Danio rerio: one gene and its partners. The protein of the gene in region 3 purifies or fractionates together with the protein of the main gene of each other region. This does not show direct contact. Links are inferred from orthologs where the notes say so. Each region holds a gene or a part of one and is shown on either strand. Other genes may lie near its edges. The genes, in order: angel1, eif3f and eif4ea.

Region 1 (2,667 bases), on a different chromosome or scaffold from region 3:
CCCCCCCCCCCCAGTCACCCAGATATCACCCCCACTGTGTCCCAGTCTTCATTTAGGCCCTGCAGCTTGCGATGGACCTGCTCGACATGCTACTAAACATTCAAGCATTAACACAGAACTGCACGCTTTCTGACAAATAAGACGATAAAAAGTCACGTTTGTGCAAAAGTCACAGATTATTACATTTAACAAGCGATTACTCTAGATCTTAAAGAGCTATTAAGGAAGTTGTTATTTCGATCTTCACACTTATTAGGGTCATTGTTGAAGACACGTCCTGGAATATGCTCTGATTTTTATGCTCTATTTTTTTCAGACCTAAGAGACATGTTTAGTCTAAGGTGAGTTTCATTTATTTATTTATTTTCCCTCAAAGTTATTCTTTTTCTGCAAATGTGAAGTTCATCCAGGTAGCACAAATGTTTTGCAAATCAATGCAAAGTTGAAATCAAATCACTTTTATAATCACATCATCATCATCATCATCATCAGCAGCACACGTGTGCTATAATGAGCTGAGTTACTCTGAAAGATCCTCTGGCAAACACTAAATTACAAATATTTTGTGAGCAAATGCTTTTTGTAATGGGAAAGCAAAAACTTTGGGCATCAACACTTTTTGTGTTCATGTTCTGGTTTTGTCTTTCTTAGTTTGACGTCATCCCTGCTGAAAAATCCAGCTTAATGTTAACATAATGCAAACTTTTGTGCAAGTGAGTGGAGATATTTAGTGGTAAACTGGTGAAAACAAAACTCATCATCTCCAAAATCATAGCATAAACGTAAAGACAAAAAGTAAACCAAAAATACTTTTATATAATTAATATCATAATTGTATTTTAATATTTGGGTTCATGCTGAAATCAGCTGTACGTAAAGGTTAAAGGTATTACAGGTTAAAGTCTTTATAATTTTCTACTCTTCTGCACATTTAGTGTAAATAATTGTCTAGGGGCAACTCAAATGCTAAACTCTGACTGTATTTTGGCAGGTTCAGTCCTTCTTTACGTCACAGGTTGAGTCTGACGTCTGCTTACAGTCATATTCATCCCGAAACACTGACTGATCTGGTCACGACACTGAACTCTGAAGGAGCTGCCATGGTCGACTACATCTTCTACTCCCAACGGCAGAAGAGCGGCTTCAACGGAGGCGGAGGTATCATCATTCATTCAGCTTTAGTCCATTATTTATCAGAGGTTTGCACAGCGGAATGAACCGCCAACTATTCCTGCATAGTTTCACGCAGCTGATGCCCTTCCAGCTGCAACCCAGTACTGGGAAACACCCATACACTCTCACATTCACACCATATGGCCAATTTAGTTCATCCAATTCACCTATAGCGCATGTAGGGTTGGGTATCGTGGATAGTGGTTCTAAATCGATGCTTTTAAAATGGTACCGGTGCCAAAACGATGCCTGAACAGATACTTTGGAGCCACAAAATGATGGTGGATGACTGGAAAAATCTAACAAAAATAAAAAATAATAATTTAAATTGAACTTTGAAGTTTAAAATATACACCAATTCCTATTTAAATTACATTATATTATTTTATATAATAATTTTTGGCCATTTGTTTGTTAGCATGATTTTAAGATTAGCATTTTGCAGCTAACATTACATTAAGAGTGTGTGTCGAGTGTGTTCTGTGACTCTGCTGTATTTATTGGTTGTATTTTTAAAGTATGTTGCACATAGTTCTGTATTTATTGTCTGACGAGTGTGCTTGTGTTTTTCAGAGAGCGCTGGTGGTCTGAAACTGCTGGCTCGTCTGTCTCTGCTGTCTGAAGCTCATCTCTGGTCTCTGCGAGGTTTACCCAATGAAAGCTTCCCCTCTGATCATCTCAGCCTGCTGGTCAAACTTCAGCTCAGCTCAGCGGATATATGACCACGCTAGCACTCGTCTTCTTTATTATTTTAACTGCCTTTGTATTGTAAATCGCACAAAGAAAATCAGTTTTGGTCAGATCAGTATTTTGTTGTGTATTCAGAATTTTCAGTGTATGTGTGTTAATTACAATCTACCATGTGAGGAAACCTGACACGGCGTGTATAATTGACTGTTCCTAATTAATAAATCATAATTATACACTTGGTTTGTTTGGATTATTGGATGTTATATTGAATGCACCTGAATGAATAAGTGAATGTGCTGCTGTTGGTTTTGCTAACTGAACAATCAGTTCAACCCTGCAGTAAATAAACACTAATAAATAAACTCCAGCTGGTCCTAAACGCAGCACCGCGATCATATCAGTCCAGTTCTGTCAATTTTCTTTTGAAAAATATCTTTACAAAGCCTCAATCACTAAGAAAAAGACTATGATAAGCTTGTTTTGTTCTATTATTCTTAATAAATTTAAGAGATTCAACAATTAATGAGAATATTAAGTCTAGGTATTGTCTCTAGGAACTCATTTTTGTGTAAAAATGTGCAACATAATTAAAAAACCTTAACGATAAGATTGAGAACATGATCGGTCCCGGAAAATTCAATTCAGCTTTATTTGTATAGCGCTTTTACAATGTAGATTGTGTCAAAGCAGCTTCACACAAATGGTCATAGTAACTGGATCAGGTTAGTTCAGGTTTAGTGTTTAAGTTCAGTTTAGCTCAGTTCAGTGTGGTTTGAAGTCTTTATTGAGAGTCCAAACACTGAA
Region 2 (4,444 bases), on a different chromosome or scaffold from region 3:
GGCAGATACTAATATTTGAATTGTTCTTATGTTTGTAATATTGAGTTATTTTGATGTAAAAATATCAACAGGCAGTGTCAATATAACTCAGCGTTTCCATCTGAAACTTAAAATTAAGGCACCACCAGTAGTCCAAAATGCATGTTGTTTTTTTAAATAACAAAGATTTTTCAAATGTTTCCAAAGACATAATGTAAATAATGTCTCTCACTGAAATTACATTAAGTGCCCACACTTTTTCCTATGAAGGGCTTGATTGAGGGTGGTGGGCCGAATGTAAACATACCAAACTCTATTTCATTAAAGTTGCATTGGTGGTTTCCTAATTTAATATTTAAAAATAACTTTAACATTGCTTCATATTATCTTATGCAGATTTTATTATATAATGAACTTCATTCATTAATTCATTTTCTTGTCGGCTTAGTCCCTTTATTATTCCAGGGTCGCCACAGCGGAATGAACCGCCAACTTATCCAGCAAGTTTTTTATGCCAGCCGCAACCCATCTCTGGGAAACATCCACACACACACATTCACACACGCACTCATACACTACGGACAATTTAGCCTACCCATTTTACTGCATGTCTTTGAACTGTGGGGGAAACCCACACAAAGGCAGGGAAAACATGCAAACTCCACACAGGAACGCCAACTGAGCCGAGGTTCGAACCAGCGACCTTCTTGCTGTGAGGCGACAGCACTACCTACTGCGCCACTGCCTCACCTGTATAATGAACTTTTTATAGTAAAACAAAATTCATTTAAAACAGAATGGAGTTACACTAGTAAAGCTGCACCCTCTGCCTTGACTTGTTTATTTTCATTTACCTTTTTTTTGTAGATCAGCAATAAAATAATCAAACAAACCAAGGTTGCGTTAAATTAGAAATTAAGATCTCTGTTAAAGGCAATTGTCCCAACCCTCCCTATCAGTCTCTCTTCTCAGATGGGATGGTGGGCCAAATCAAAGATTATCAAGGGCCAAGTTTGGCCCACATGCCCTAGATTGGATACCTCTGGCCTAAATGATATGTTATTACAACAACTAGGCCTATAGCAAAACAAGTTGCCCAATAGCCTGTGGTTAGTTATATATTAGGCTACATGATAATACATCACAATTTACTGTTGTAAAACTAAAATATACTACAGTTGCCTACACAGTTTATTATAGATAATGCAGTAGCATTTATTAGCATGTGTTGTTAACTTAATACTTTATAGTATAGGCCTACAGTATAATAAACTTTACTATCATTTGTTTCAAAAACACTATCGTAGCCAATTTACTATGAATTACTCCATTATCTTTTCATGTGCGTTGTCTTGGCCATGTTTTCATCATGTCTAAATGTTTTGGATTGCTGCCATGTGGTTAGCTGATCCGATTTTTGGCATTAACATGCAGTTGTGTTGCTATTAAATTGTCCATTGAAAAAATGGATATGTACCAAGCAAACCTCGAAGAACTTTAACCTGACCCACCCACTAAAACTTTACATGCTGTGTTTAATTATTTATTTGATTATAATTTTTTACACATTATTTTGTCAGCCACCTACATCCGCTAGGGGGCGGCAGCGCGAATCCCACTGACGCGCTCTTCTTCTCTGTTTATCATCATCTTTTACTTCCTCTTCGAAATCATGGCGGTGCACGGCCCGGTCGTGAAAATCCACCCGGTGGTTTTGGCTTCGATTGTGGACTCATACGAGCGCAGGAATGAAGGAGCGAGTCGCGTGATCGGGACATTATTAGGTGGGTCATTGAATTCTTGTGTGAGATTTATGAGACAGTTGCGATTATTACAAACAACATGAGCGTCGCTTGGTCTTGTGGAGCATGTGTTGTAGTCGAGCTGAATGGCTGGGGTGGATGAGAAACTGTACAGATCAGCAGCATCACTTACCTGGTGGTTGTGTTTGTGTGTCAAACAGGAACAGCAGATAAACATTCAGTCGATGTCACCAACTGCTTCTCTGTTCCTCACAACGAGTCTGAAGATGAGGTGAGAAAAAAAGCATCATCTAATACATCCTTTACATTAGTGTGTGCCAGACATTTATGTAGCTTTTTAGGCATAACGAAAAACAAAACAATTTCACATCACAGGTATCTCACTGTAACTTTGTAATGGTCTAAAGGGTTCGAGTGAGACATCTGTGGTATTTCATGTTCTGTTGTTATGCATCTTTAGCTAATTGATTGGTTGAAATACACTTACAAACCATCAGCCAAAATTGAAGTGAGGTAAAGTTGATTTTATATTTGCACATTCAGACTTTCACCTTCTTAATGTAATTTCAGAAAGGTATTCTTTGTCAAATCCTAAACGGTCAACTCAAATTAACAGCCAGTGACTATTAAAGTACAACATTGTTTACAGTCAGTTAAATGGTGCTAATGTGGATTTAAAGTAGGCATGGGCCGGTATACAATTCTGACGTTAATATTCTTTAATATAAATATCACATTTTCACAGTATTACATAGTGATTACGGCTCTGCTAAATGGTAGCGCTCCAGTTTTTTTTTTTTTTTTTACTGTTTACAAACTGGTAATTCATCTATAGCAGATAATTTTGGCGGTTTTAAAACATCAGTTTTTTTTTTAAATCACTGTGTACCTTGAAAACGGTTATCGTCCCATGCCTATTTTGAAGTCATGCATTTCAGACCGATTATTCAATGTAGCCTGGTAAACAATGTAGGGACCTTTCATAGAGTTCATAAGCTTTTTTTTTTTTTTTTTAACTATAACAATTTGCTAATTTATCTGTATTAGCCTTTTCCCAGAGATGGGTTGCGGCTTGAAGGGCATCCTCTGCTTAAAAACTTGATGGATAAGTTGGCGGTTCATTCTGCTGTGGCGACCCCGGATTTATAAAGGGACTAAGCCGACAAGAAAATGAATGAATCTGTATTAGCCTCTTTAAAATTTGCTTTACTATTTTATTGAACACGAGTGTCTGAATGTTCAAATATAAAACCAACTTAATTCAAAAGTGTCATGTTACATGCTACTGTATTTTTGGACATGTACCATATGTTATTTATGCTTTACTAAGGAGCACCAGCATTTAATCATCATCATTGTGCAATTTATTTACCTTTTAAAATTATTTTTATTTTATTTTTTTTAAATAGGTGGCTGTTGACATGGAGTTCGCCAAGAACATGTATGAGCTTCATAAGAAGGTTTCGCCGAGTGAAGTCATTGTTGGATGGTATGTGGCCGCATTTCCAAATTAATATAATTCTTTTCTTTGCTAAAGTTTTGTTAAGTTATTGTTGTAAGCACATTTTTTGTTATATTTTTAGAAGGTTTAGAAACTTTTGTGAACATTTGTTATTTTTCATTTAATGCATTTTGCTTTGCGCTATGGTAAAATAACTAAAATAAGAAAATTAAATAAAATGATATTTTTTTCTCCTACAGTCCCATGATTTATTTTTGCAGCCATTTTAAATGTATATCTCATGTTTACAAGTTTATATTTCACAATTCAGATATTCATTTCATTTTCATTTGTTGTTCTTACAGTTCAGTTTATATTGCTACTCTTTTTTTTAAGTATATTTGCCTTTTATTCCATTGTAAAAGCAAGCTTCCATTAGGCCTGTCACGATATATCTAGTTTTTGTTGTACGGTATATTGCACCAAAATACATTGCGATAAATGATTTTATTGTGATTTTAATACCATTCTATGCCACTCATTATATAATACCAGAATGACAATATAATATCACCACAATGCAAGTACACTCATACAAAGAACACATAATATTTTATTGTTAAGACTATTTAATTTAGTTATCCTATGGCTTTGGAATGAGATTGTAAAAACGCATATCATAAATAATAATAAATGTTAACAAAAAGGTGCAAGGCAAAAAGTAACAGAAGCTGTGATATCTGCTAGCAGATCTATTTTTAGTTGTCAGACACCCACATGAAAATCTTCTATAGCAATTTATAGTAAAACCTGTAGAGCTTTTTAAACCATACTGACACCTCAATAGAGATCGAGATGTTGCAAAACCAGCTGAAATGTTGCTAGAATTCATTTTTATGTATGGGCGATATATATTGCATCACTAAAAATGTCTGAGGTCATGTCAATATAATATGACACGGCTTATCAATGCGATAAGTTCATATATTGATTACTGTGACAGGGTAGCTTCCATAATGTAGGTTATATCTATATATCAAAAAAGAATAATTATACAGGTAACAGAATTATTAGAACTTAAAATGGAAAATATTACAAAAATGACTATCTAAAATATTTCAAAATATAATAATAGAATCTGATTTCAGATAAACTTAAGGAATGTTGTTTCACTGAAGAAAGAGGCTGTGTTGTTTTTGCAGGTATGCCACAGGATTTGACATCACTGAGCACTCGGTTCTGATCCATGAGTATTACAGCA
Region 3 (4,146 bases):
GTGCTTATGTGTAAAAAAACAAATAAATAAAATTTCAATGTTTAAATTAAAATGTAATTTTAAAAGTTAATTAAAAATGGTAGGCTACTGTTCTTAAAAAGTAAAGAAAAAACACCTGTACTTAAATGTAAAGTGTTCACCTGTAGTATAAAAGCCTGGAAATGCTGCTTGGACCTCATAAATATAGGCTATATGTCATCATATTCATATACGAGTCATTTTTTATAAATATTTAAATATCTGTTGCATGTAGATATGGCATATCGGATTACTCTGCGTACCACTAGAAGGCAGCCCGCGTACCACAGTTTGAGAACCACTGGTCTATGCAGTTTTTTGTTTTAAAATGAGAAAACGCTATTAAGAGAGCAATCAGATTTTTTTTTTTTTTTTTTTTGTATTGTTAATGACTTTCTAAACGGGTGACAAAAGCCCCCACGAGTGAGCAATGGCCCTAACAAAAAAAAAAAAAAAAATGAACAAAAAATACAAATAATGAAAATAATAAGAAAATTACTCTGGCTTTCCACTTTCAAAAGCATTCTCTTTCAGATGAAACATGTTATAATGGTATATGCATAAATATTAGAATTTATTAACAAAATCTAGTCCTAAATGAGTCGAAGAAATAAAAAAAGGACTTAAATTTTTTCAAAAGCTTTTTGGCACTAATGTAAATAACATTAAACATAAATAACTAGCATTTTCATATTGAAGCACTAGCAAAGTTTTGTCCTAGTACTAAAAACTAAGCCAGGTCAAACTCCCTGGAATGTATTATCAGGCTTAAAGTGAGCACTATTACTTACTAATACTTTTCCATTAGCTCTGCCTAATACACACTACATTACCAGACAAGGCATTGGCCGGTATATGATTCTGACGGTGTAATAACCTTGGATAAAAATATCATGGTTTCCAGGTATCACGGTATTTCGATTACTGCTTTAATTTTTTTTTCCTTTTTGAAAACAATATATTTTATTTTTTGAAAGATTTTTTACAAATCTGGAGCAGTAAACATGTCAAGATATATAATGAAAATGAATCATAGACATGAATCTTTGGATATCTTTCCAGCTTGAGAAACTGTTGTCTTCAAAAACAAACAAAAAGTAAATAAAAAATCTTACACGGTGCGGTATTACAGAAAATTTTGACAGTTTTAAAACCTTGACTTTTCCAAACCGTGGTATACCTTGAAAACGGTGATCGTCACCTGCCTAGATCACACTGTATACGCTACAAAATACTGAGGTAAAGTTGGATTTATATCCGCACATTCGTTCATTTAATACAGTCCTTGACTACTAATATAAAGTCCCCATTTAGAATTGGCAAATAATACTTTTCTGAAATTATATTAAGAAAATCCAAATATGCTAATATAAAAAACTTTTTTACCTCAATTACAAAAATATATAAAATAATCTAATTAAATAAACAGACTTATGGCACCATTTTAGTTTCAGAAACTCTGAATAACCTCAAAACAGCATTTCAACAAAATCTTGAGGGTGAATAAATAAAATGGGTATAAATACTTAAAAAAATAACAAGTAAATTTCTTTATGGGTGCTACTAGATGAATAATTTAACCTAATATGTTTTGTTCAAAAGGTTATTTAGTTAAAAAGTTCTCAAAAGCTGCTTATATACCCTAATGAAAGAAAACTGATAGAGGTTAAGTTGGTTTAAATTCACACATTTATTCATTTAGCAGTGTCTATATTGGTTACCATATTACATTGAATATTCAATCGGAATTAGCATGCACGTATGACTTCTAAACAACATTAACACTATTTAATTCACTGTGAACAATGTTGTGCTTTGATAGTTTAACTGCTGATTTCCCTATTTAGAATTTGCAAATAATACGTTTCTGAAATTATATAAAGAAAGTCCAAATATGTAAATATAAAAACAGTTTTACCTTAATTACAAAAATATATCAAATAGTCTAATTAAATAAACAGACTTATGACACCATTTTAGTTCCAGAAACTGAATAACTTCAAAACAACATTTCAACAAAATCCTGATGGTGAATAAAAAAATTGGTATAAATACTTAAAACAATAACAAGTAAATTTCTTTATGGGTGCTAGATGAATCATTTAACCTTATAAGTTCTGTTCAAAAAGTTATTTAGTTAAAAAAGTTCTCAAAAGCTGCTTATATACCCTAATGAAAGAAAACTGCCCATATTTGAAACAGAGTTTCTCCAGAGGAAGAATGAACATTAAGTTTCAACCTTCTCATTGTTATTACACTAAAACATGAATCTTTCTAAACACATAATATTAACTCACAAACTAAAGGTTATATTACAAAAATCTTTAAAAGTATACAAAGTTAACCTTTAACAATATCGCAATATGTAACGTTACTTATATTAAGTTTCATTTACTGTCCATACAGAGGCTAAAAACAAACCACATACTTTTCATTGACACATCAGCAAACTACGAGTCTAAATAACAGAGATGCTTCAACACCACGTTCAACTCTCTGAAAAAACAAGCAGCCCACAGCCCTCCATTTCAGAGAAAACATCAACTATTTCACACTTTTGAACAGTCTCCTTCAAACGCATGTGTGCGACAGTCGGGCATCAGCTCATTTGACTGTATGATGGAATATAAATCTGTCTCTACTTGAATATTTATTCAAATTAGCTTATACACAAGCCCTGGTCGACATAAAACTCGTATTACAGATTAAACCCCGCCGTTAAAGTATGTGCAGTAGTGTTTGTGAGAGCAGTTACACTAACTCACCGGTTCAGCAGTCGCCATCTTCTACAAATGTGAAGGGTCTTTCCGTGTGTGAAAACAACATTTGATTGGCTAAACTCAGGCGAACTCGTGTGCGAGCAGCGCGCGCCCGGACAGCGACACCCAGAGGACGGCAGTCTGTTTATGACTGCCAAAAATGTCTATGGGAATTTAATAATAATGATAATAATAATAATAATTAAAAAACTTTATTTAAAAAAATATTATTTCGAGGTGCTTCACAGATATTTAATCAATGATACCAAAACTCTTTTACAAACTACTCTTTTTTTTATTATTATTCTTTTTAAAACTACTTTTATTAAATTATCATCTTGCTTCGGACACAAAAATACATTTGTAACGAATTGTAGAACATTGAATTGACCTGAAGCATTGCCCAAAAATTTAGAAGAATGTTATAAATGGAAAAAAATCATTTAAACACGTAATATGAGCTTTATTTAGATTTTGTAATTACAAAAACTTTTATTATTTGTCTCATTCATTCATTAATTTCCTTTTCGACTTAGTCACTAGATTAATCTGGGGTCGCCACAGCGGAATAAACTGCCAACTTATCCAGTATGTTTTATGCAGCGGATGTCCTTTCAGCTGCAACCCATCTCTGGGAAACTTCCAAATCACACTCATACACGATGGACAATTTAGCCTACACAATTCACCTGTACTGCATGTCTTTGGACTGTGGGTGAAACCGGAGCACCCGAAGGGAACCCACGCGAACGCAGGGAGAACATGCTTCTTTACACAGAAACAGAAACAGCGACATTTTTGTTGTGAGGCGACAATTTGTCTCACATTAAATGAAATAATTTACTTGGTTTAATGTTTTTAAGAGTCATATTGTCAACATTGGCATTATTTTACTGTATTATCTTTGAATGTTCAATATTAACTATAGCCTATTTTATTTGGCAAATATATACTTTTAGTCATTAATTTATTTTGTGGCAGATTCATATTACTTTTAGTTTTAAGAATCACTACAAATCATACATTTTGGTTTTCATTTGTTTAGGCAACTTGGACAATTTGATGTTAAGAATCAAAACTTTCACAAACATTGACAATCTTACTAAAATCAATTCATTACAACCAAATAATCAAACGTGGTTATAAGTATCATTGACAAACTAGTTGAACTGACTTTTCTAATAAACATTTTACATAATAAAACAGACAATAAATACGATCTTATTGTTCAAACCTTCAAAATAATTATATCAAGCCATTTACACTGCAAAGGTTTATTGTGAAAAAAATTAACTAAAATCACAAAATAAATTTGTAACAATTGTAGAACATCAAATTGACCTGAATTAATGCCAGAAAAAAAAAAAAA

Evidence for each region.
Region 1: the proteins of eif4ea (region 3) and angel1 purify together in Homo sapiens (affinity purification with mass spectrometry; 3 studies listed by BioGRID and IntAct, counting the BioPlex papers as one, with this or other methods). This does not show direct contact. The link is inferred for Danio rerio from reciprocal best matches to the Homo sapiens genes EIF4E and ANGEL1.
Region 2: the proteins of eif4ea (region 3) and eif3f purify together in Homo sapiens (affinity purification with mass spectrometry; 3 studies listed by BioGRID and IntAct, with this or other methods). This does not show direct contact. The link is inferred for Danio rerio from reciprocal best matches to the Homo sapiens genes EIF4E and EIF3F.

The regions. Positions count from the first base shown.
Region 1 is NC_133192.1:58,746,894-58,749,560, forward strand, and holds the end of angel1 (protein angel homolog 2), read left to right. Parts: exon of another isoform or gene 1-316; coding exon 317-341; intron 342-991; coding exon 992-1,158; intron 1,159-1,746; coding exon 1,747-1,895; 3' UTR 1,896-2,101; downstream 2,102-2,667.
Region 2 is NC_133176.1:11,701,553-11,705,996, forward strand, and holds the start of eif3f (eukaryotic translation initiation factor 3 subunit F), read left to right. Parts: upstream 1-1,624; 5' UTR 1,625-1,651; coding exon 1,652-1,763; intron 1,764-1,942; coding exon 1,943-2,013; intron 2,014-3,151; coding exon 3,152-3,231; intron 3,232-4,385; coding exon 4,386-4,444. UniProt on the Homo sapiens protein: Component of the eukaryotic translation initiation factor 3 (eIF-3) complex, which is required for several steps in the initiation of protein synthesis.
Region 3 is NC_133189.1:48,179,082-48,183,227, forward strand, and holds the start of eif4ea (eukaryotic translation initiation factor 4E-1A), read right to left. Parts: upstream 2,802-4,146; coding exon 2,784-2,801; intron 1-2,783. UniProt on the Homo sapiens protein: Acts in the cytoplasm to initiate and regulate protein synthesis and is required in the nucleus for export of a subset of mRNAs from the nucleus to the cytoplasm which promotes processes such as RNA capping, processing and splicing.